Mus musculus: one gene and its partners. The protein of the gene in region 1 purifies or fractionates together with the protein of each later gene. This does not show direct contact. Links are inferred from orthologs where the notes say so. Each region holds a gene or a part of one and is shown on either strand. Other genes may lie near its edges.

What was found.
Region 2: the proteins of Clk3 (region 1) and Gpatch8 purify together in Homo sapiens (affinity purification with mass spectrometry; 3 studies listed by BioGRID and IntAct, counting the BioPlex papers as one, with this or other methods). This does not show direct contact. The link is inferred for Mus musculus from reciprocal best matches to the Homo sapiens genes CLK3 and GPATCH8.
Region 3: the proteins of Clk3 (region 1) and Fkbp5 purify together in Homo sapiens (affinity purification with mass spectrometry; 3 studies listed by BioGRID and IntAct, counting the BioPlex papers as one, with this or other methods). This does not show direct contact. The link is inferred for Mus musculus from reciprocal best matches to the Homo sapiens genes CLK3 and FKBP5.
Region 4: the proteins of Clk3 (region 1) and Psme3ip1 purify together in Homo sapiens (affinity purification with mass spectrometry; 3 studies listed by BioGRID and IntAct, counting the BioPlex papers as one, with this or other methods). This does not show direct contact. The link is inferred for Mus musculus from reciprocal best matches to the Homo sapiens genes CLK3 and PSME3IP1.

Annotation. Positions count from the first base shown.
Region 1 is NC_000075.6:57,761,456-57,768,096, reverse strand, and holds the start of Clk3 (dual specificity protein kinase CLK3), read left to right. Parts: upstream 1-2,982; 5' UTR 2,983-3,023; exon of another isoform or gene 3,024-3,060; intron 3,061-3,211; exon of another isoform or gene 3,212-5,109; intron 5,110-6,229; coding exon 6,230-6,381; intron 6,382-6,641. UniProt on the Homo sapiens protein: Dual specificity kinase acting on both serine/threonine and tyrosine-containing substrates. Phosphorylates serine- and arginine-rich (SR) proteins of the spliceosomal complex.
Region 2 is NC_000077.6:102,474,896-102,480,767, forward strand, and holds the end of Gpatch8 (G patch domain-containing protein 8), read right to left. Parts: coding exon 3,298-5,872; 3' UTR 1,020-3,297; downstream 1-1,019.
Region 3 is NC_000083.6:28,408,387-28,414,258, forward strand, and holds part of Fkbp5 (peptidyl-prolyl cis-trans isomerase FKBP5), read right to left. Parts: intron 3,739-5,872; coding exon 3,648-3,738; intron 2,208-3,647; coding exon 2,124-2,207; intron 1-2,123. UniProt on the Homo sapiens protein: Immunophilin protein with PPIase and co-chaperone activities. Component of unligated steroid receptors heterocomplexes through interaction with heat-shock protein 90 (HSP90).
Region 4 is NC_000074.6:94,586,964-94,592,835, forward strand, and holds part of Psme3ip1 (PSME3-interacting protein), read right to left. Parts: intron 4,740-5,872; exon of another isoform or gene 4,606-4,739; intron 4,402-4,605; exon of another isoform or gene 4,210-4,401; intron 2,445-4,209; 5' UTR 2,348-2,444; intron 1,951-2,347; 5' UTR 1,940-1,950; coding exon 1,813-1,939; intron 1,139-1,812; coding exon 1,040-1,138; intron 483-1,039; coding exon 361-482; intron 1-360. UniProt on the Homo sapiens protein: Promotes the association of the proteasome activator complex subunit PSME3 with the 20S proteasome and regulates its activity.

The DNA of each region.
Region 1 (6,641 bases):
ACATTGGACCACTTCTGTATTAGTCAGGGTTCTCTAGAGTCACAGAACTTATGGATAGTCTCTAGATAGTAAAGGAATTTATTGATGACTTACAGTCGGCAGCTCAATTCCCAACAATTGTTCAGTCGCAGCTGTGAATGGAAGTCCAAGGATCTAGCAGTTACTCAGTCTCACGTAGCAAGCAGGCGAAGGAGCAGGAGCAAAGATCCTCTTTGGTTGGTGGCTTAGTCCCTGGGAGCTCTGGGGGATATAGTTGGTTGATATTGTTGTTCTTCCTATGGGGTTGCAAACCCCTTCAGCTCCTTTATTCCTTTCTCTAACTCCTCCATTGGGGACCCCGTGCTCACCTACATATCTTATATTCCCAGAACTTTGTCCCTCTTAGGTTGGCACCACCTTCCAGCAGGCCCCTCCCCCTTTAAGCAGATTGACTCTCTCCACTCCAGGCCCAAAGCCCCTCCTTGTCTTCCTACATCAGCATCACCCAAGTTCACTCTAAAACAGGCTGTGAGGACTGATCCTACACTCTGGCATAACATCCACAAGTCCACCCTACCTAGGCCCAAGAGGAAGCGAGACTTCCAGAGTTAGGGTGTTTCTTGCCCGATTTGGGAAGCAAAGCTGTGTTGAACTTCCAGAGTATTGGGTGATCGCTTCTCGGCCTTTTGGCTAAGATCAAGTGCAGAGTATTGGGTGAGAGCCAAGAGAGTGGCATCACAGCACAGAGAAGAACCTGACCTCTCCCAAGATACTTTCCAGGGAGGTGACTTTAGAGCTGAGGCTCAAATGTACATCAATTCATTCCAGGCAGGACAAAGCTAGATATAGCAGAGGAGAATTCAAGGGCAGACAGAAGAGAGAGCACTGGGGCCCACGAACCTGGGAGGGGAAAAGAAAGGTAGAGAGAAATAGAAGCTGTAGGAGTTGAGTACAAGCAGAACGGGACATCACCTTGGTGCCCTGGAGTCAAGCTACAGACCAGGCACACAGAAAAGGCTTGACAGGCCCAGGGCACAGGCTGGTGGAAGCTGGTGCTTTGGAGCAGTGGGTAAGCAGCAAGTCTCCTTCTGGGGGAGCGCAGGGCTGAGCAAGGGGTGGAGGAGCGGTTCCAAGGTTCCTCTCAACAGAGTACCACAGAGATGAGATGTGTATGCCGGGAGACGTTCATCAACCTAACTTTACTTCAGAACCAGTTCTTTTCTTCTGCTAGGTTTTATGAAGAGAGACAAGAGGACGAAGGTCTAATGGGAGACCATCCAGGAGGAAGGCCAAGCTGCAGCCTCTGGAGAGGACAGGGCTAGGAGACAGCTCCTATATCAGCTGTCAGCAAGAAGTCCTCTCTGTAGAGAGAGTGGGGGCTGTAGGCAGATGGCCCTGATTTTTCCTGTTAGGATGGTAGGCAGGAAGACGGTCTAAATTATCTCATTTCTGACACTTGGGGTAGGGCAGGAGATGGGAACTTTTTGAGGATGTCGGCCTTAAACTGGAGGATGCTATTTTCCCGTAGCCATGGAAACATGGCTGGGCAGCATTGGTAGGAGGTGACGACACCACAGAAACCTGTGAACGAAGGAAATTCTATCAGTGTGGGCCTGGCCTCAGGTGGGAGCTGCATCTTCTGACGCCTGGATATTTCAATCTTTGGCTTCTAGGCTGGAAACCAATGGGGCAGGACTCGGGCAGAAGCAGTTGAAATGGCTGTTGAATGTCTGTGGGGTTGGAAGGTGACTATGAGTCAGTTTGAGTTTGCAAAACATAATCACCCAGCTTTTTAACTCAACCGCTTTTACTTGGTTGGTGATGAAGATGCCGGGCCATTACGTCAGAACCAGAGGCAAAGCTCTCTAAAGGCAGTTTCATCACTGCAGGGGGGCCTAGGGAGCCACAGCACCTGGTGGGCGCGCATCCCGTACGGGGAGGGGACACCTGGGAAACCCTGGCTGTCCGCGTTGAGTCAGCAAGATCCTAAAGCTATGCCCCGCCCTGGCCGGCCGCCGCAGCCTCGCGGACCTCGCGTGGCGTGGGGCAATTAGGCGCGGCACCCGCCCGCTTGGCTGCGCGACGCGCGGGGGCGGGGACGCTGTCAAAGCGAGGCCCAACCAAAGGACCGCGACTTGTATTCTCTTCTGAAAAAAAAAAAAATAAGACCTCATGATCCTGCCACGACAAAGCGTTGGACAGTAGGTGGGAGGGGTCTAGACTGGGTGCCTCACGCCCGATGCCGCAGCGAAAGGACGGGCTGAGTGACTCGAGTGGCAGAGCGGGAGCGCGGCGCGGCTCGGGGCTTTTGTGTGGCGCGGGTTTCCTAGCAAGACTGACAGCAAGACGCTCTGAGGTGTTCAAGGGAAGGGGACGATTTCTCCGTCAGACCCCACCGCCGAGGCTCGCGGGGATCTTCCCGGAGACTGCTCGCTCGAGCCAGCTGGGGCGTGGCACCAGGACTTTCAAAAAACCCGCACAAGCCGAGAGCAGAATGTGTCGTTTGCTTCTTGCGCGCAAGCGGAGTCGCGCCCGCCTTCCTCTGCCCGGGCGCACCGACCGCCTTCGTCTCTAGCGCCCTCCCGGGCCCCGGGAGAACAATGCCGGTCCTCTCCGCGCGCAGGAAGAGGCTGGCGAGCACAGCTGGGCCGCGGCGGGGAAGCGGCCCCAGCCTGGCAGTCCGGTGGGTTCCTCCTTTAGGCCCAGAGCCGTCCTCAGACCGTGGTCGCGCACCGATGCGGCCTCGGGGGCCTACGTGCAGCACCACACGGAGAGGGGCAGGCCGCGGCCCGAGGCTGCTCCCGGGACCTCCGGGAAGAGACCTCCACCGATGTCGCCCGGACCCTGGCGGGGCAGGCCAGTCCCCCAGAGTCTGCGAGTTCGGGGCTAGAGCGGTCAGGCCTCTGGGCCGGGTCGAGCCCGGGCCGCCGACGGCTGCGTCACGCGAGGGGGCGGTGCTGCCACGGGCGGAGGCCAGAGCCGGAAGCGGAAGAGGCGCTCGGAGTGGGGAGTGGGGCCTAGCCGCAGCCGGAGCCTGGGAGACGGTGAGTGTGGGCCCGAGCCCGTGGCCGGGCAGCTGGGGTGAGTCGGTGGGGACGGCCACGCCGGTACGGGTACCGTGCCACCCGGTCGGGTCTCGGCTTGGACCTATTTCCCTCTTCGGCCCACGTCAGGCCGCGGTCCCGACCTCTCACCCCTGACCCGCCGCTTCTCTCCCTGAGGGCGGTCACTGCAGACCCCTTTTCTGGTTCCCGCGGTGTTGGAGGCGGAGCTCCAGCGGCCTCGGAGCCGGCTGGGAGGCTTCCCTTTGGGTCCCGCGCCGGCCCGCTGGCTGGGTCGCGTCCGACCTAGGCTATCCTGGAAAGGCTTTCCCTGCCCCGAGCTCGAGGCTTAGCCCGCAGATCTCCTTCGCGCGCCGCCTGGAGTTTGATTCTGGCCCAGGCTGGCCATCCCTTTGGTCGCCGGGTCTTCCCTTGGCGGTTACGGGGAACGGGGCTCTGAGATCCCTGGGATTCGGGCAGAAGGAAGGGACTCGAGTGCGGGCCGCCGGCCCCCTCCGTGTTTTGTTATGATGGAACCGCTCCATCCCGGAGAATGGGCCAGACCAAGCCAGGAGTACAAATGTCCAGGCTGCTCCTCGGTCCGGTCGGGAGCCTCTATGCTTTAGTTCCGGGTGCGGGTGCCCTGATGCTTGGGTGGGAATTGCCAGAGTCTAGCCCCCATCAAGGCGGAGTTGGCGGCCTTCCAGTTTCCCTCCTCCGTGCCCTTGAAAAGGAGGAGCGTTTTTGCCCGGTGGCAGCCGCAGATTGCGAGGTGGCAGGTTTGAGGTTGCAGTGGTGGGGCACTGCCAGCCAAAAATAACCATGGGTCGCTTGGGTGGCAGGAATCCGGGAGGGCAGCCGCTGACCTGGCTGGCTGCTCTTCTTGTTAGCCCGGTTCTCTAGCCAGGAACAGCAAATGAGAAGCCAGAGAGGCCTGTGCTCATAGAAAAATTGGCATCCAGTAACTTGGTCTCATTGGTCACATTGCCTTTTTCTTCATTGTTCAGAGCAGAGCCTCCCAAAGCATAATTGTGGCCTTTACGTTTTAAAAAGCTTCTTTGCCGAGGACTCATGGAATCGGAGAATTTGTGAGAAATAGGCTCAAACGACCTGGCTGGGAGGAGGACATGGGCCACCTGGTAGCTCCCATTTTTCACCTGCCTGGGATGCGTTGCAAGGGAGATTATCTCCATTACTGCCTATGTGTGGTACTTCATGGCCAAAATATTGGGCCATCTTTGCCAGTATGAGAGGTGTTATCTTCATTTTTCAGGCATGACAATTTAGGTCTAGAGTGACTTGTATAAGGCCACAGGGCCAGTAAGTGGCAACACTGGGATCGAGTTCAAGGTTTCCTGCCAAAACTTCCTACCCGGTCCCTTGGAAGGAATTATAAATTAAGGCATTCAACATAGCCCTGAGTGTTAGCCGGAACCTTCTCAGTGCTAATGAAAGGCTGTCTTTAGTACTTCTTGTGGCCCAAACCTGTGCTAGGCTTTTGACTTTATAGGGCAGACATTTAATTCCTATGGAGCCTGTAAGAGATTATTGTTCCCTTGTTTCAAGAGGAGGCTGAAGCTTAAAGTGGTTTAATAACTTGCCTAAAGGCAACAGTGAAGTGGTATTGCTGTGGAGCAGGTTGGCATTCGACTCTGAGGCTGTGACTTTCCACTCAAGTAGACATATGTGGTCATAGAAATCCACTTAGGTCCCAGAAGGAAAATTTTGGTCTGCTGTAGATTAGACCGCATTACAACATCCTCCAGATAGGATGCTTAGGGTGCTCTGTCTGCCTGGTGAGGATGGGCAGGACCACTTTGCCTTTTGGGAAGATGTATGCCTGGCCAGTAGGTTGTCTTTTGGGTCAGTTGGTGAGACATGGGCTACTGCTTTCAGGCTACAGCCTGAGCACCTGTCATAAGGTCATGGGGTGGGGGACATTCAGATAAGTGTGAAAACAACAGTGCCTTTCTTAGGGCTCCCAGAGGTTTACATAAATTGCCTCCCAATCCTGCTCATACACAAGTACCTATTTCATCTTTGGACTGTGCTGGTGAGATGGAGCAGCCTTGATGGATTTGTTTAAAAGGTGCTTGGCCAGGCAAGCCTAGGACTATGCACTACTAGAGGTTGGGTGTGAGCAATTGAAGGCTTGGAAAGCAAACAAGCTGTGCTCTCATGCCTGGCCATCTGGTGGACAAAATGTGAAGGGGCTGGATATGGGTGAAAACGGTGCCAGACTCACGTAGCCATCTCTCTGAACTGGCTGCTGATCCCATTTGGGAGTCTCCGGTATTGGATCTAAGTACTCCGTGGTTAAGGAATACTTGTCCTACTTCCCAGTGTAGACCTACAGCCACGTCTTCTTGGCTCCTTCAGAGATAGGGCACAAGAAAGAGTGCCGGAGTAGGAGGAGCTAGAAGGGATGGCTATGATGCTGTTAAAGAGGAAGCACCTGGTATGGGACTCTAGTTGGTCTGAGGGCCACTAAAATTTGCCTCAGGCAAGCAGCTTAGATACCTGATTGTGGCTCCTTTCTGGGCTGATACTCTGGATGGGTCAGCAAGAGCTGGGCAGGCCTTCTGGGCCCAGGCCCACTTGGCTGGAACCTGATAGGAGTAGGGACTATTGGTGAGACATTGTGTCTTTGCTCAAGGGTCAGAGTTCTCATTTCTACTGTGGTTCCTCACTGACTGAAGAGTTTTGAATTTCTTTGAGTTGAGTCCAGTTCATTGCTTTAGCCAGGCAAGTTTCAGTTTAGTACTTTGGCTCTGTGCCACCAGTTCATTAGCTCCAGGCTTCTAGAACATTTAGGTTATAGGATCCCATAGGCATGAAGAAATTGAGCAAAAAACCTCTCCATTCCTCCTGTCCTTGGCATCCCCGTGGCAGTGCTCAGCATCCCACTACATCTACTTCTGTATCTGGGCCCTGGCTTGCATAGTTTGAGTGTTCAGGCCCCTGGGCCAGGCTGGAGAGGCACCTGTTTGTTTATTCACTTGGCAGAGGAGGGAGTCATCCACCCATTGTCTGCTGTTCTGTCACTGTGACATCAGAGTTCTTCTTTACTTCATAAACCCCTGGGAGGGGCTACCCCTAAACAGAACAATGGGCCTCTTCTTCAGGAGCACCTGGCTGCACCAGGCAGCCCTGTGGCTGGAAGCAGTGAGCTGTGTGTTGAGCAGGGCTTTCTCTTTCTTGTGGCCTAGATGCATCACTGTAAGCGATACCGTTCCCCAGAGCCAGACCCATACCTGAGCTACCGCTGGAAGAGGAGGCGGTCTTACAGTCGGGAGCATGAAGGTCGACTACGATACCCATCCCGAAGGGAGCCTCCCCCACGGAGATCACGGTCCAGAAGGTGAGTGGGATCTGGGTGGGAAGAAGCTTTCCTCAGCTAGATGAGTAGAATGGCCCAGAGCTCTGCTGCTCTCAGGCTCCTTTAGATGGCTGCTTCTGCCCAGCCGCCCGTAGATTCTTGCCCTGACCTCTCTGGGATCCTTGCCTGTGCTTGCTTCCTTTTCCTGGCCTCAACAGAAGTTACCTTCCTTGTCATCCTTTCTTTCTTTGTCAGAGTGGTCTCTCTCCCTCTGTATTTTCTAGGCCAGTACCCTACCCCTG
Region 2 (5,872 bases), on another chromosome or scaffold:
TCTCTGTGTAGCCCTGGCTGTCCTGGAACTTACTCTGTAGAGCAGGCTGGCCTATGAACTCAGAAGTCCACCTGCCTCTGCCTCCTGAGTGCTGGGATTAAAGGCGTGCGCTACTTTACTTGAAGCACTGAATGTAGGATGAATGGCACTTGGGTTCAGAAAAGATGCAACGCTTTAATGGGGCAGGGGGTTAGATTCTAGCCAAGGAACGCCAGCTAGGAAAGAGCTGGTTGAGTTGGTGTGGGTGAGGTGGAGCTTTCTGTGGCAACAAGAATAGATAAATAGTCCTCCAGGGTGTAAGAGGGAGTACTTTCATGTTTCAAGACTAGCTTGGCTGAGCCCTTATCAGAATAAAACAACTGACTTGACAGAGCTCAGGCTATGCGGCCTTGTCTTTTCTGCTTGCCACCTTCCTTGCTCTCAGAAATGCACTTTTCAATTTCTATCACTGTCTGAACAAAGATGCTTGGCATTTGAAGCACAGTTCTGAGCACTCAGCTGTGGTAGCTAGAGAGCAAACAACTGTATCCAAATAAGGGAGGAGACAGACATCACACAGCTCTGAGATACTGAGGAAGAGGGAAGCCATCACTGGACCCCTTCCATGCCAGCTCTCCCTGCCCCTCCTGATGTGACTTCCTGGTGTGGATGAAGACTTTTGCTGGCTTCAGGCTTATAGGCCAGGCAGAAGCACTCCAACATTACAGCGGTAATCAGAGTTGACTATGGTAACTCAAGCCTGGTAATACAGAATTTCACCTGGAGGTCAAAGGCTCAGCAGATGAATCTTAAGTGCACACTTCCAGTCACCTGCCTAAGACTGGAAAAGCATCCAGGTAAAGCATCTTAAGGTAAACTAATCCTGATCATGGGCTACCTGAGTGCTCATAACAATTTTCAACATTTCAAGCTAGCCTAGAGGGCCCATTATCAGACTGCGTCCAACAGGACACTGTTTGTAACCCACACTCCCACCTGCCCCAGCCTATGCAGCAGCAATCACAACAGACTCCACTAAGTTTGCACAAAGCACTGGTTTATTAGAAAGCTCCTTCCCCTCACTTTACAGCATATACATCTCTATCATATGTGATAAAGTTAGATACAATCTGTTATGCTTGTATGTAAGGATAGGTTATCCCCCCCCCTTTTTTTTTTTAAAGTTTTAAAATCACTATTCTGGAAGTTAAGGAAAACTACCTCCAGGATGGCAGAGGCGGCCAGAGCATGGCTAGATCTACAACCTAACGAGAAGCAGCACAAAAATGTTAATACTGTTTTATTTAAATATTTACACGGGCTGAAAGCAAGAAGAACCAGTCCCTTCACTTCAAACAGATACCGTTTTTCCAGGGCTAGTTATCCTAAAAGTGATACTTGTAAGGGGACAATGAGCAGAAGGTAGGAGAAGCTCAGGCAGGGACGGGCCTCAAGTGCCCAGCACTCACTTCCCTAACACAGCCCACTCTGCTGGGAATTTGAGAAGGCAGGAACAGAGAACCTTGGCCTAGGCAAGCAGGGTTAACAGTCAGTTGACTGCTTAACCAGTTCTAGTCATAGGAAGAGCACTAACAAAGGAGATGAGACCTGCATTACAAGCACCTTTGGGTCAGTGTTAAGGAGGGCTGAGAGCCTGGGGGAAGGGCAAAGGGGAGAGGGATGGACAGACTTCTGGTCAGTGTCACTGGAGAAAAAAAAAAAAAGGAACCTCTACTGCTGAAATAGCAATCGAGCTGGGCAGACGGCACAGAACTTTGAAGCCAAAAATCTCTCTACCTATAAACGTGCTCACCTCCCAACAAAGAGAGAACTGTCCCAACTCTAGTATCCTCTGGTCTACTTCTATTTTAGTGTCTAGCCAACCCACAAGGCACATTTAAAAAATTGTCAGAGGGGGCTAAATACTAGGAAGGCAAATAAGACTGTCTGGAACAAGGTACCCAGGGAAACCAAAGGACCCCTTTTCCCAGACAATCACCGAGTGTCACTGCTTCCAGAGAATAAAGCTGTTGAACCAATCCTCCCCTCCTCCATGGAGTCCACGGTTTCTCTGTATAACAAAGCACGTCAGGGAGACCACTGCAACTGTGCATCCTCCTGACAGCAGCAGCCGCCTGCTGCTCATCAACCCGAGAGTCCCAGTGCAGGATGAACCAACTACTGCAAATTATTTAACACTGTCCCAGCAAACAAAACAAAACAAAAAAAAGTGTCAACATTTTTATATAGTTCATAACTTCAAAAAATACAGGAGGTTGATAAAATATACATGCTTAGTCATTTTTGCATCTAGCAGAAAACAAATATTTTATTTTTTTTTCTTTTATAACCTTTAAAGTTTCTTAATTCAACTAGGGCAAACATATTTACAGAAAGCCACCAGAACAAGGATCACTTAAAGAGCTGGATGTAAAAAATATTATTGCAGTATACTACAAATACGGAACCTTTTTAATATGAGCTACAAAAAGCAGCATTTATGTTTATAGAGTTCAGTGCAATTTTACATTAAAAAATCCTATAAATTAAGAAGAAAACATCAACATAACAGAAGGAAATATACCCTTCAGACACGAGCTCCTTTCTGGGAAGCACATGGGTGACCCTATGTTCAGTGTAGCTTCTACTCACGATAGGATCTTCTTTTCTGGGATATGTAGATGCCTCTTCTGGGATGAGGGGCATGAGGACAGTAGTGCCAAATGCATGGCTCTGTTTGTAAGGAAAGTGGATCAAATTGCAGCCTGAGTTGCTTTTGGTTCTAGGTTAGACTCCCTCTTCCACCTCACCTGGGATAACGTGTCACAAACGGATAGTCAAAGACACTGCCGAAAAGTGGAGTTTTCACCACTGAAGAGACAGCCTGGCCTTTCTCGTGGCACTGAGAAGGCAGGACCAGATGGGCCCATGGCAAGTGCTTTGGTGACAACCCATTAGAGGAGGAAAATGTTTTGAACTTACAGAGGGGAAGTGCAGAGGATCAGAAAGTAGAGGGAGGAAGGAGGCTTACTTGACAGTCTGGAGATGTTGCTGCAGAGGAGTGTGGGTAGCACTTACTGGTGTTCCCTAGCTTAGAAACACAGGAGGGAGGGACTAATAGAAAGGGGGTAAATATCCCTGATAGTAAACCCAAAGCAAACCTCAAATCTAAATCCATCCCTGCAAGCCAAAACTCATTTCTTTGGCTGTCAAGACACTGCCCGTTCCAGCTTTTACCTGCTGGTATAAATGGCTCAACACCCCCAAGGGAAGAACAGGCCACCTTCCCTGGCTCAACACAGGCTTCCGACTCCCAACTCAAGTCCCATGGCTGGGAGGGTGCTGCAGGTCCTGACCTGAGAAGATGGGGTGAAGCAGTGGGTGAAGATGGAGGGCTGTGGCAGCTGCTGCAGCAGGCCGTGGGGCAAGCAGGGTGGGGTAGAGGGCAGCGTGTGGGACGGGATGAAAGGTGAAGGGCCCAGGATGGATGGCTGAGGCAGGAATTATATGGATAGGGTGGCTAGCAAGAAAGGTGGCAGGGTGGCCAGGGATAATTGAGTGAGTGAGATGGGACAAAGAAATAGGGGTTAGATGGGGCTGGGGAATATGATGTACTTGAGCAAGCGGCTGAGGGTGGGGGTGAGGGTGAATGCCAATGGCGGCAGCAGCGGCTGCAGCATGATGCTGTAGGATGGCATGCTGAACAGTGGTGATGGAGGTGGCAGAGGCTGTGGCTGGCTGCTGAATGTGGATGGGCTGCAGGGCTGGTGTGGCTGGAGCTAGGGCGGTGGAGGCTGGAAAGGCCTTCACTTGTTTGGCCAGAAGCTGCTGCTGGATGTGCTGCTGTGCAGCCTGCTGGAGCTTGCTGTACTTCTCCATCTCCTCAGGGGTGAAGGTGATGGGCTGGCTCTCGAGAGGAGCCAAGGAGGCATCCTCAGTCCCATCTGTTGATTCAATACTAGGTTCCCCACTGGGAGGTGCATAATTGGGGAAGTGCTCAAGGTCTGGGGCTATAGGCAGCAAGCTGGATTCCACAGGGCCTGGTTGACTGCCACTATCCAGAGACTCCAGAGTATCCCCATCACTGGGGTCCGGGAGGTAGTTATGGGAGATGGCTGGATCCCCAGGGTAGCAGTCAGTGTGGGCTGGGGTGCCTAGCGGAGCCACAGAGTGATCAGCAGTAGCTTCTTCAGACTTTGGCTCTTCTGGGGGAGGGTCTGATAAGGGACCAGCTGCTTCCTCTGAGAACTGATGCCCAAATGGAGCATCACTACTCCTTGGGGACCCTTCTTCTGGCTCTGAATGTTCCTGCTCTTCTCCCCTTTCTAAGCCAGACTCTTCACATTTCTTATTGGACTTCCGGGTAGCTGGAAGCTTCCCTATCATTGGAAGAACAGGCTTATTACCAAGAGACGGGGGGAGCTTAGGCCCAAAGTAACCTTGTGGGGGGTTCTTGTACTTGAGCCCAGCCTTATTAGGGGTGGCCAGCACCTCCTCGCACACATTGGGTTTCCTCTCCACTTTCCTGGACTGGATCTTCTCTAGCAGCAGTCTGGCAGTAACAGAATTCTTATCTTCAGGACTGCAGTCACTTTCTGACCCCCTTCCTGTGCCAGTATTGCTATTCTGGGAGGGCAGGCCTGCTCCTTTACTGTCATCTCCTCTGCCATCTTCTTTCTTTCCAGGACCTTCTCCCCGACCTGATTGGAAATAGTGGGGGGATTGAGAGCGGTAGATCTTTGAACGAATGAAATCCCGGCGGCCAGAGCGCCTTTCCTCTGGGCTCTCATGACCCCATGAGCCCTTTCTGGAGCCTGATCTCTGAGAAGGGCTCCTGGTGCTGCGGCTCCGGTCCCGGCTATAGCTTCGGCTTCGCTGCCAGCTGTGGGCTGTGGTGCTGCGACTTCTCCTCTTGCTTCGACTGCGACTACAGCTGCTACTGCGGCTTCGACCCCGGGATCTTGATCGCTCCCTTGTATGACTCCGAGATCGGCTTCGGGACTGGCTGCAACTGAGGCTATAGTCATCATCAGATGATGAGTATTTGTGTCGTTTAGACCTGTGTTTGGAGCTGGTATAGTCTGAATCATCTGAATCGTGAGAGCGCTTAGAGTGCCTTCGTGATCGGTCGCTATAGTCACTATAGCTATCATCAGAGTAACTGTGCTGTCTACTATAGCAGCTCTGGTCTGAAGAGGCATCAGAGCTGCTAGAATAAGAGCGCCGGGAGGAACGATGTGAGGAATGGCGATGGCCAGACCGAGAGCGGCTACGAGAATGCTCACTACCGGAGTCTTCATCTTCCTCCTCTTCTTCCTCCTCCTCCTCTTCCTCCTCCTCACTGTACTGGGATGGAGACTTCTGGTGCAGTCGGTGTGAGGAAGCATCATCACTATCCTCATCACCACTACTGGGTTGGCTCCGATGGCTGGACCGGCTGCTATGTTTGGTGTTAGCTCTCCGCTGGCAGGAGGAAGTTGGTGGTTCACCTTTGTGTTTCCTCCCACTGTGATCTTGGCAACTGCTACCACCCCCACCATCATCCTTCTTGCCACTGTTTCCTTCTTCAGCAGGAAGGGATCTCCGCTGGGAATCATCTTGAGCTCGGCGCCGCCTTCTCGGTGGTGCCGGGCTGCCGCTTCCAGGAGGTTCTGATTTGGGTCCGCGTTCAGAATCAGCTGCGGCTGATGATTTGTTCTTCTTCCGTTTTCGTTTCTTGCGCTTCTTAGATTTCTCCCCAGACTCTGCCTTAGAACTCTTCTCTTCCGTGTCAGCCTTGTGTTTACGTTTGTGCTTGCTGGATTTTTTGTGTTTCTTTTTCTTCTTGTGTCTGTGAGACTTGCCTGATGGTTCTTTCTTGCTAGGATGGCTTCTCCCAGTGTCTTCAGTTTCT
Region 3 (5,872 bases), on another chromosome or scaffold:
AGATCCCTGCTCAGGGCTCCTATCGCCATCTGCTTGGCTGCCCATGAGTCATACGTTAGTTTATAACTTTGTTACAAATACACACTGTCTCTGCCAGTGTTTCTTTTGAGGTGACTATGGCCCCATAGTTCTGCAGTTGTCCCACATGGTGTTCTTGTTCCAACCCCCTAATGTAAGTCAGTAGTAGATGTGACAGCATTTCTCAGTACAGAGGCTCATGAAGAGTAGCCTCAGGTCTCTGCTTTATAGTGCTATAAAAAACAAAACAAAACAAAACAAAACAAAACCCAGGGGCTGGTGAGATGGCTCAGTGGATTAGAGCACCCGACTGCTCTTCCGAAGGTCCAGAGTTCAAAAGGTCTGAAGTTCAAATCCCAGCAACCACATGGTGGCTCACAACCATCCGTAATGAGATCTGACTCCCTCTTCTGGAGTGTCTGAAGATAGCTACAGTGTACTTACATATAAATAAAATCTTAAAAAAAAAAAAAAACCCAAACAACAAACAAAAACCCCAATAATTGTGTTTAAAGACTGCTGGTAAAAGAAAGAAAAAGCAAAGAAAACTTGGGTTCCCTCCAAGTCCTTTTTTTTTTTTTTTTGAGGCAGGGCTTCACTGTGTTGCCCTAGTTGTTTGGAATTTGCTCTGTAGGCCAGGCTAGCCTCAAACTCACATACATACACTTGCCTCCAGAGCCCTGTGCTTAAAGGTGTGCCAACAAAGCTGGCTTCTGGCTTGGGTCTCCACACTACAAGGCAGAGACAGGAGTCAGCCACTTGCACAGCATCACTTGGCCCAGCAGAAGACTGCCCGCTCTGAACACTCATCGAGAAGCCCTTCACTTGATGTGGAGACAGCAGGAATTTGGAAGTGGGCTGGCAAGCAATGGGCACAGCACTCCGAAATTTCACTTAATGAGTGTGGGTGTCAGCCCTGGGGGATAAAGCACTGGTTCCTGGGTCCTGAGGAGACAGGGCTCTGGAGAGGCAGTAATTCCCTGGGGCAGCTGTAAGTGACATCTTATCACTGTGGCCACAAGGCTCAGTGTTTTCTCCTCATCAGGTTCTTGGGAGGGCCGAGCCTGGTCATCCATGCCGGTCTGCAGGGCCTTTTTGGTACCCAGCCAGTATCATTTTTTTTTTTTTTTTAGATTTATTTATTATTATATGTAAGTACACTGTAGCTGACTTCAGACGCACCAGAAGAGGGCATCAGATCTCATTATGGGTGGTTGTGAACCACCATGTAGTTGCTGGGATTTGAACTCAGGACCTCTGGAAGAGCAGTCAGTGCTCTTACCCGATGAACCATCTCGCCAGCCCCTCAGCCAGTATCATTAATGGCATCTTTATCTTGTTGCTCAGTTAATAGTGGTACTGATAAGTAATGATATATTTCTTGATAAAACCTTAAATATTAAACATTTATTTTGAGGATATTTGCTGTGAAAGCTGCTGTTTTAATTTAAAGAGCGAAAATGTTTTAAAACATTTTTAAGATTTGTTTTTATTTTTTATTTACTTATTTTATTTATGAGTACTCTGCACATGCGCACGTGCATGTCAGAAGAGAGCATCGGATCCCTGTACAGATGGCTGTGAGCCACCATGTAGGTGCTGGGAATTTAACTCAGAACCTTTGGAAAAGCAGCCAATGCTCTTAACTGCTGAGCCATCTCTCCAGCCTAAAAAAAATTTCAATTGAAAATTATAATTAAAACAATCAGGAGGAGACTTGCCTTCATTGTAGTTACATAAAAGCAGCCACAGCACGGCAACCTGAGAGAGATCATCCAAAGTGAACTGGGGGATCTGCAAGGCCTTTCCTGTCTCACCTGTCAGGGGGGAGCGGGCTGGAGCCGCCCCTGTGAACTCTGACCTGGGACACACACACTCGAGCGAGCCAGGTCTGGTCCACCTCGCCTGCTCCTGAGGAAGCTCCACCTGCTCACAGCACACAGAAGAGGCCTCTGCATTACCTCCTGCACACGAACTCACTCTGCTCACTAATCCTCCTACAGAGCACAGCAGGCCTGTGAGAACTGAGGGTGCGTCTCAGCACAGGGTGCTGATGGATACTGGGTAGGTATCCCCACATGGAAAGGACTTAGAGACTCACACACCTTGAAGTACACAGTTCCCTTCTCTTTCACGATGGCAGCCTGCGTCAGCTTTTCTTTGGTGTCCATCTCCCAAGATTCTTTGGCCTGTGTAGAGATTTGTGGCGTCAGTTAGCTGAGGAGAGGAGGAAACGCAGCAGTTCATGCCTGGGGGACAGCAGCGATCTCTATGAGACCCCAGCAACTGTGGGCCGCTGCTGGGATACCAGCAGGCCAATGCACCGGTGTTCCACTAAGAGCACATGCCATAGCAAGCTGTGGTCTGACCTGTGTTGTCCAAGGAACACAAGCACGGAGCACTCTCACAGACTGCATTTTGAGGGTGACAAAGCAAGCCTCCCTCCTTAGAGACACTGGGATCGTAACCTGGAGCCCCAAAGCTCCCTCACTATGGGCTGCTGTCACGTTAGCAGGCTGTTTCTGTCAGGCTTGCTTTCCAGCTTGGAAGTGAGATTGCTACTTATGGTCCAGGCCAAGCTGCACGTGCATGGAGCACTTCTAAAATCCCAGTTCAGGCAGCTGTCTCTGAATTCACAGAACCAGATGCAGTATGGCCTCTAACAGGATCAGTTTGCAGGTGTGGACCTGGGGAACTTTTTCTTTTCTTTTTTCCAGACAGCACTGCATGTATCTCAGGCAAGCCTCCATTTACTACGTAGCTGAGACTGACTTCTGATCCTCCCGAGTGACAGGATTAGATGGCAGGCATGCCATGTTGTCACAAAGCACGGAGAAGGGTAGAGGTTCCACTATGGAAAGGGCAGGGAAACTCGAGGCCCCGATAGTCCAGCGTGGACAGAGCATGGGGTCATTTCAGAGGAATAAAATCGTAATAAGAAAGGCGGTCTCTGAGGGGAGCCACAGCTGAGGATGACAGCTTACTCAGCTTATGGGGACACCGTGCAGTACAGGTGGGAGCCTGCAAAGACAGCCCAGAGTTGGAGGCTGTCCGAGGAGGTACACCAGCCTGAAGGCCACGGCAAGTTCCCTCTCCTGTTCTTGGACACGTATGAGAAACAGCCTGGGTACGTTTGTTTCTTCTCCTTGGTTGCAGCTGCTGGTCCCGAGGCTGAGACACTGGGATTGTAACCTGGAGCCCCAGCGGAGGCCTCTTTGTAACTCCTGTGGAGTGTGCAATTCCTTCAGCACTGAAAGGCTGCACCCCAACTCCCCTAAGGAGCTGCTTGGCAGTACGTGAACTTTTTTGTCCTCAACTCAGGAAAAAAAAGTACAAAAAGAACAAGCCTAGGAACAAATACAGGAACAAGTCTTGGATTCTACCCAAAAGTTAAAAGAAAAAAAGAGGCTAACACACAGTAAAAAATAAGAACACCAGCTCCTCTCCTGTATCAACTGTGTTGTGTCAGCTTCCCACGCTCGGAGCAGAAGTGTGGGGGACAAGAGTCATGGATGAAGAAAAGCAAACACAGAAACAAACACTATTTAGCCAAGTCATCTACCGCACAGTTACAGGCACAGGATGAGAAGACCCCACACCACAGCTTTAGCGAAGTTGGGTTTGCTCACCTTCTCGAAGCTCTTAAGGGTGACCTCGTACATAAGCTCAGCATTGGGGTCAATGCCAAACTTAGGCTTCCCGGCTTCTCCAAAACCATAGCTGAAACGGAGAGGAAAAAACAAGACTCAGGAGGACTGGTATACTTCTTTGGTTTTCTGTGTGGAATCCCTGCTGTGGTTTCCTGAGACCTGCTGCATCGTGTTCTCTTAGCGCATGCTCTCTTAGCGCAGGCGCACAGTTCCTGTACTCCCTAGGACAGTGTGCTTAGCATGCTGTTCAATATCGATGCCTGGTTTTAGACTTTATTCTTTTCTGTTTGGTTACAAGGACTTTTTTCCTTTAAGCTTTATGAGCAGAAAGGACAGAAGAGTCTATTACTATAATTATTATAGTAGTAAAAATCACTATAATTCTGTTTGAATACTTTTAACATTTTTGCTATTTTATTACAATTGTTTTTACTGTTCTGTTACAGTTTCGTACTTGTATATAGAATTTCTCATTTTACCCCAGCTCCCTCACCACTCCCTCCCCCACAGGAACTCTTTCCCACATGTCCATGTGTACTCAAAACAAGCTTTTCACTTTAAGGAAGGGTCAACTTCCAAGAGTACTACCTCCAATCAGAAAAACTGCAGGGGGCAACACATTAGCAGAGACAACAGCTCTCATGATCCTAAAGTCTCGTGGCATTAAAGACTTTAAAAGGCACAAATACAAGGTGGTGGCACACATCTTCGATCCCAGCACTTGGGGGACAGAGGCAGATGGATGGATCTCTGTGAGTTCAAGGCCAGCCTGGTCTACAAAGTGAGTTGTGAGTTCCAGGACAGCCAGGGCTATACAGAGAAACCCGGTCTCGAAAAAAAAAAAAAAAAAAAAAAAAAAGAAAAGAAAAGGCACAGCTGGAGCAGAGGCACACAGAGCTGGGGAAGAACTGGGTGGCAGCCTTAACACCGTGCAGAGGGCATCACTCGAAAAGGGAGCAATGGCCAGTGGCAATGTTGGAAACGTAGCCAGGGTTTTTTCCCTGGAGTATGAATGTGTGTGTGTTGCCTGTGGTAAGGTCTGTCCCTCTCTTCGCTGCAAAGAAGGCATACAGATGGGTACTTCTCAAGTCTGTTGCTGAGAGCATGCTATGATTGGCAGTCTTTACCAGGGAGGAAAGAATATGACAGATGACCTGGCATCACTTTGGAACCATGTCACTTACCTGGATTGATGTTTAACCCTTCTTTGTCAGAGGAACATTAAGCAATGCCTAGAGTTGCTATTGGATGGCAGGTAGGTGTCAGACATATTACTGCACACCTTATGGGACAAGGACAACCCTCTTCTGCCACAACTGGGATCCACCACAAACATCCATAGTACTGAGGACATGAAAACCTGTCTAAAAGAAACTTACAGGCTGGAGAGATGGGCCAGTTGTTAAGAGCACTGACCTCTTTCAGAGGTCCTGAGTTCAATTTCCAGCAACTACATGGTGGCTCACAACCATCAGAAATGGAAGTCCAGAGTCAAGGCCTCTGGACGGCAGCTGCCTTGGAGGGAAGATACACTAAGGGCGTGGAGGGACAGCCAACCCTGCAGAACACAGCATTGTGAATGCCCTCGCCAGCTACTTCTTACAGGTGAGAGAGCGGAGGCCAGAGACATGTGCTTTCTGAGAGGTGATATAGAGGCAGAACCACATTCAGACCTTCCTGTCCTAAGATAACTAAGGCTGACACACACTGACCACTCTCAACAGCCTATGGTTTGTCTGGGACTGTTACAAAACAGGTATAAAGAAAAAGGAAGGAAAAAGTAGTCATCTATACTTAGCCTACATAGAAATCAGTCACAATATTTAATTATCTATTTGAGGAGAACAGCAAATTTTTAAAAATTGAGAAAAAAAATCTGAGGGTGCAATGTCTCAAATAGGGTACACCCTTGCCACAATATTCTAAAGAACACTACCAAGAAAAGATAGTGTTCCAGAGAGAGAGAAACTTGAATGCTTTATTAGTTTCTTATGAAAACGTCCTGCCAAGGAGCCTACAGATGTCAAGGTGGGGGTGAGGTTGGGGTAGGGTAGAAGGGAAATGCAGAAGACACTGAGTACGAATTCCATCTGCATTTTATAAGCAACCCAGACTCGGTGGACTCTGACTAGGACAAGCCAATCTGCTTAGGGATGCTCTACCTACATGGGCAGTGTGACACACACACATGGAGACAGTATGGA
Region 4 (5,872 bases), on another chromosome or scaffold:
CTCTTTGACTTCAGTAAGCATGCACTGTGTGCACATACATAGAAAAGACCAGAAACATGACTTTTTAAATCTCACGTGATAATGTCTCCCCAGTGAGATTGGCTACAACGCCCATCTAAGTCTAATTCTACAAGGCAAGAATACCCCGCTACTGACTGTGAGAATTTATGCCTGGCTAATCCTGAAAAACATGGAATTTTGATTACAATAGATATGCACATACAACACACCCCACTAGTCACAGCCAATCAATCACTCAGAATCAGAGACATCAGTGCTGACAAACTGTAAGGGCCAGGTGGAAGGCCTCTTTATACTCCTGAGGAAAGCGAGGCATTTCTCTCTAAGCACAAAGGATATTCTGTACTCCTTCAGTTCCTCTAGTTCTTCTTCTCGCCGCTGCTTCTCTATCAGCTCCTGCTGCCGAGAAACCTCATCAAGGAAGTTGGTCTCATCTTCGTCTAACCCTCTTACCATGTTTTCTGAGGAAATAAGTGAACAAGAAGCACTAAGGAGACTGAGACAAACAACCTTCTCTGACCTTCCCTCCCCACACGTTTATTCTGTGTTCGGTGCGTGTGCACATGCTCCAGGGCACACACGTGACGGCTAAGGGATAGCCCTTGGGAGTCGATTCTCTCCTTCCAACTGTGGGATCTGGGGATCAACGCAGGTTGTTAGCTCACACAACCAGCACTGGTACTCATGAACCATACTGCTGGCCGTTTTCCTTTTTAAACAAGCAGCAGATTCTTTGGGCAATTACAAGGAAGAATTATTAAACACCATAATTTTAATAAATAGCATGGCATCAAGTCAAAGCATTTCTCACATTACTAGAAATTAGCACAGAATTCAAATCATATCTTAAGCTCTAAGTCAGAAGGAAGGCAGAAGATGGTCTTTTATCCACTGAATTGAGCTCCTGGAGGCTGGATAATCAAGATATTCTATTGCTAGTAACAAAGATGGTTTCACGAGGCTAAAGTACATCAAAAGGCTCAGTGAGTCCCTCAAACGTCCATTTTCAGAAGCTTACTGAATTTGAATTGCTCCTCATACTCCTGCTGCTTCCTGTCTTTCTGTTCCTGCAGCCGTTCGTACAGAGACCGAGGGTCATACGCCTCCTCTGGACATTCTGAAAGGGACACGGGATAAAGGAGACACAGAATTTAGGTTGTTTCATATTATTTTGGAATCACAAAGAGTTGGAAAAATAGTTAAGTCTCTATATATCTGAGGGTGAAAATAACACAAAGTCTAGTTTCCCTTTGCACCTCATACAGAAGGGGGCAGGCGGTTTTCAAAGACAACTATTAATGTCACGTTACTAACTGGATGGGCAGCCAGTTCAAACCTATTAGCAGCATCTCAGTTCAAACTGCCCCTCCACTTGTAGCAAGCAAGCAACTAGCAGAATCTCCTGGCAGGCGCTATGGTGGGGGGAGGAGGGTAAATACGGAGTACTGGTTCTGCTGTGGAGAATTCATATAGCTTACTTCACCCTGGGAGCCTCTAGTGAGGACAGTTATCACCTTCTTGGCAGAGTTTTTGCGAAGATTAAAGAGTTAAATGAGGGGCTGGAGCGCTGGTTCAGTGGTTAAGGGTACTTGCTGCTCTTCCAGAGGATTTGAGTTCAATTCCCAGCAACCACATGGTGGCCCACAACTGTCTTTAACTCCAGTTCTAGGGCATCTGACACCCTCATACAGACACACATGCAGGCAAAACACCAATACATATAAAAACAAATTATTGTTTTTTAGAAAAAGGTTAAATGAATGATGTCCAACTCTAGGTCTATCTACGTACCTTTTGGGTCTTCTGGTTTTCGCACTTTCTCCCATTCTTCTTGCCTCCTTTTGCGCCGCTCATCTAGCTCTGCCTCAGACACAAACCTCTTTTTGATGACAAGGTTACTATCGTCCTCTCCATCCATAATGGTACAGTCTACAGAAAAAAAAAAAAAAAAAAAATCAAAGGAGAACTACAATTCAAATCCTTAGGAGCAGGGTAGGGATGTAGCTCGGCTGGTACAATGCTTGCCTAGCATCCCTGCACCACATACACCGGTGTGATAGTGCACACCTATGTTCGGCACTGGAGACGTGGGGTTTATTCTGGCTTATCAGACAGCACACATCTGTGCTATCCACAGTCACTGAGAGATTCTAGGATCACTCTGACATTGCGTTCCACAGCATGTCACACGGAAGCTATTTCCCTGTCGCAGCACTCTAGACAAATGGGCCTTCTGGGCTCCACACCTGTTCTCAGCTCACATCCTGCTTCACAGCTATAAGATTTGCCACCTTCTTTCAGCTGCCATCTCACTGCCTTGATTTACCTGTTCTTGCTTCCAAAGCAGATTCTAATGGAGACTCTCAGGTACTCAAGGCGCTTTAGCAGTCAAGTCCCGTCTATGAAGGAGGGAGGTGGCAGATCTAGGACAACAAGACACGAGTGTAAAGAGTGGAAGCAGAAGAGCCAGGCCCACCTGACGTTCAGCCCAACGCTCTCCACAGTAAGCAGCTGCTGCCATCGACCCTGCCTGTCGTCCCTGTGAAGCAGTGGCCCTCTTTACCCCTACAGGCCCGAGCCCTTAATGCATATACTGATGTAGAAGACACCAAACTTCCTCTCTTCTTTTTCTTCAACTCTTCGGAGAAGCAGGAAGAAGGAAATAAAGATGGGGACGTCTTTTCCTTTTAAAAGTCAACATTTTGGAGCTGGGGTGTAACTCAGTGCCATAGCACTTGCCTAGGATGTACAAACCTTGGGTTGCTGGCTTTTTATTTTTTTTCTGAAGAATTACGGTTAATCGTCTACTCAGACATATTCTGTGTTCGCTACAATATTACCAAAGAGGCACGAATGCAACCCAACCCAATGTCTATTCCTAGATAACCTTTGACAACCCATCTAACAGTTCATTAGAAACTAAGTCTGGGGCTAAAGAGAGGGCTCAGTGATTAAGAGCTCTGACTTCCTCCTAGTTCAATTCCCAGTCCCTACATTTTAGCTTAAAACTGTCTATAATGCTAGCCCCAGGTGATACACTCCTTCTTCTGGCTTTGGTGCATACATATTACCATATGTATGCCACAGACATACATGTAGGCAAAATACCCATACATAAAAAAATAAATAATTTTTAAAAAAGTCTGCAGCCTCAAAAAGCAACTAACAATTTAAAGCGCTTCGCCTGTGTTATGTACTTTTTGCATGTTATCGAGTTTCTCTGCATATAGAGCCCATGAGAAAGACTCTTCACAGATGAAGCTGACCCCCAGGCTCAGTGAGCTGCTCAAAGCATATAGGCAGCAAGTGGCAGAGGTAAGGATCAAGTCCAAACAGCCGGGCATGGTGGCACACGCCTTTAATCCTATCACTTGGGGGGCAGAAGCAGGTGGATTTCTGAGTTCTAGGCCAGCCTGGTCTACAGAGTGAGTTCCAGGACAGCCAGGGCTACACAGAGAAACCGTCTCGAAAAACCAAAAAAAAAAAAAAAAAGAAAAGAAAAGAAAGGATCAAGTTCAAGTCTGACATCTAATTTTCATATTCTCAGCTAGGTGTGATAGCACATGACTGTAAACCCTATGCTCATGAAGACTGGAGGAGGATCATAAGTTCAAGATGAGCCTAGAATACACAGCAATATTCAAGGCCAGCCTGCACTAACTACATAATGATACCTTAAGAAATCACATTTGCATCCATCTCCTCCTCCTCCTCCTCCTCCTCCTCCTCCTCCTCCTCCTCCTCCTCCTCCTCAACCACGTGGTCTCAGATAAACAAAGACATGGCTGGACATGGTAACCAATCCCTGCAGTCTCAGCCCTCGGAAAGTTAGGGCAAGAAAAGTGGGCTAGAGGCCCATCTGGCATGTGCCACGCAGTGAGACCTTATTTCAAAAGCCTAAGGGCTGGGGTCTTACTTTTCTCTTGCTGTGAAAACACAACGTGATTGAAGCAACTGATAGAAGGCAGGTTTTAATTTGGGGATCAAGTTTCCAGGGAGTTAGAGCCCATCACCATCAGGGTGAGGAGCATGGCAACAGGCAGGCAGCCAGGCACGGCGCTGAGGCAGTAGCTGAGAGATCTTACATCTTGATCCATAAACACAAGGCAGACAGCGAGGTAACTGGGAATGCAGAGGGGCTTTAACCTCAAAGCTCACTTCCAGTGACCTCCTTCAAACAGGCCTCACCTAATCCTTCCCAAACAGTTCAACCAACTAGGCGTTCAAATATGCGCCTAGAGAGACAGACCATTCTCATTCAAACTACTATGTTGGGAATGCAGGCTCTGGGTTCACTCTTCAGCCTGGGGAGAAACACACGAGAAAACAAGGGCACATCAATTTCAGCTATATTTTCAAATTCCAGTGCCCAGAATGCAAAGTTTTTGTTTGGTAAAGATATTAAAAAAAAAAAAAAAAAAAAAAAAAAGGAATTAGGGCATTAAAACCAAACATTCAAAACAGAAGAAATCATCTCAGCCTGAATCCATCCTACTGTTGAGGTTTAGTTCCATGTGAAAAATGAGAACTGTTGACAATCACTAGAAAGAAAACTAAGTCACCTGAGAGAAGGCTTTACCCCACCTGGCCCACAGTGCACTTCTTCAGATATAGGGATGTGGTACCGCTCGATGCCTGCAGCCAGGTACTCAGGACAAAAGCAGGATTACCTTGTCTCTGTGACTTAGCAGAATTCCTCAAGCTCTTTGGAGCAATTTCTAAGGAGAAAGAGCCAACAGCTTATGAAATGTCCCCAGCAAAGAATGTGAGCCATGCAGGCACTGGGGAAATGGGAGTCACGCTGGACCCTTGCTTTCTCCTTTCTACCATTTGCTGTACGTCTCCCTTCCCACCCTGTATCAAGTGTCTACTTTCCTCCCCCTACTCCTATTTCCTCCCCCTACTCCTAGTAAATAACTCACGACAGGACAGGCCCTCACAGCCTCCTCCTGGCATCAGAATCCATCACACACATCAAAAACAGCATCAGCAATTCCTATTTTAGACCTTCAAGACAGGCCCCCGTGCTCCATTTCCAGGGAACCAGCTCCCTCTCCACTTTACAGTTCTTGCTCTGAAATTTCTGTTCCTATGGAATCCACACATAAATTTTGAGATGACAAAAGGTGACTCTTCTCCAACACAACAAGGCTTTATTATAAAAAGGTAATCCTACTCTAAACTTGCTGCTTTTCAAAGGAAAACATCCAGTATTCTAATCTTACAAGATGGATATAAACGTGCTTCAAAGCAGTGGAACTTGCCTGGCTTGGTGGCACATGTATGCCTGTAATCCTAGCACAAGAGACAGATATAGGAGGATCAAGAGTTCAAGGCCACTCTTGAATACCTGAGACATATCTCAAAAAACAGGCCAGCAAATGCCTCAGAGAGTAACCACGTGTGCTGCCAAGCCTGATGACCCGAGTGTAACTCCCAGAATCCACATGGTGGGAGGAAAAGGAGACTCCTTCCTGCAAGCTGTCCTCTGACACAGTTACAAAGAAGTGATGAATGACCAGCCAAACTCTGAGTACTCTGTATAATGCTCACAGTATTTCTTCTCTAAAAACTATTCGGGTCTCTTGAGAATTACAATCTTCTTTCAGTCAATAACTACAGCCATATAGGTTGGGTATGGCAGCTCATGTCTGTAATCCCAGCAATAGGGAGGCTGAGGCAGGAAGATTGTTAAATTCTAGGCCAGCTTGAGCTATATAATGATTTTGTTTCAAAATAATACTGCAAGACAAGCTAGCTTAACCTTATACATCTTTCAGTATAAGATTGCTCAATTCAACTAATCTATAGCAAGTGCCTTCTGTTGTGTTCTTCTTATTAAGGTGGGCAC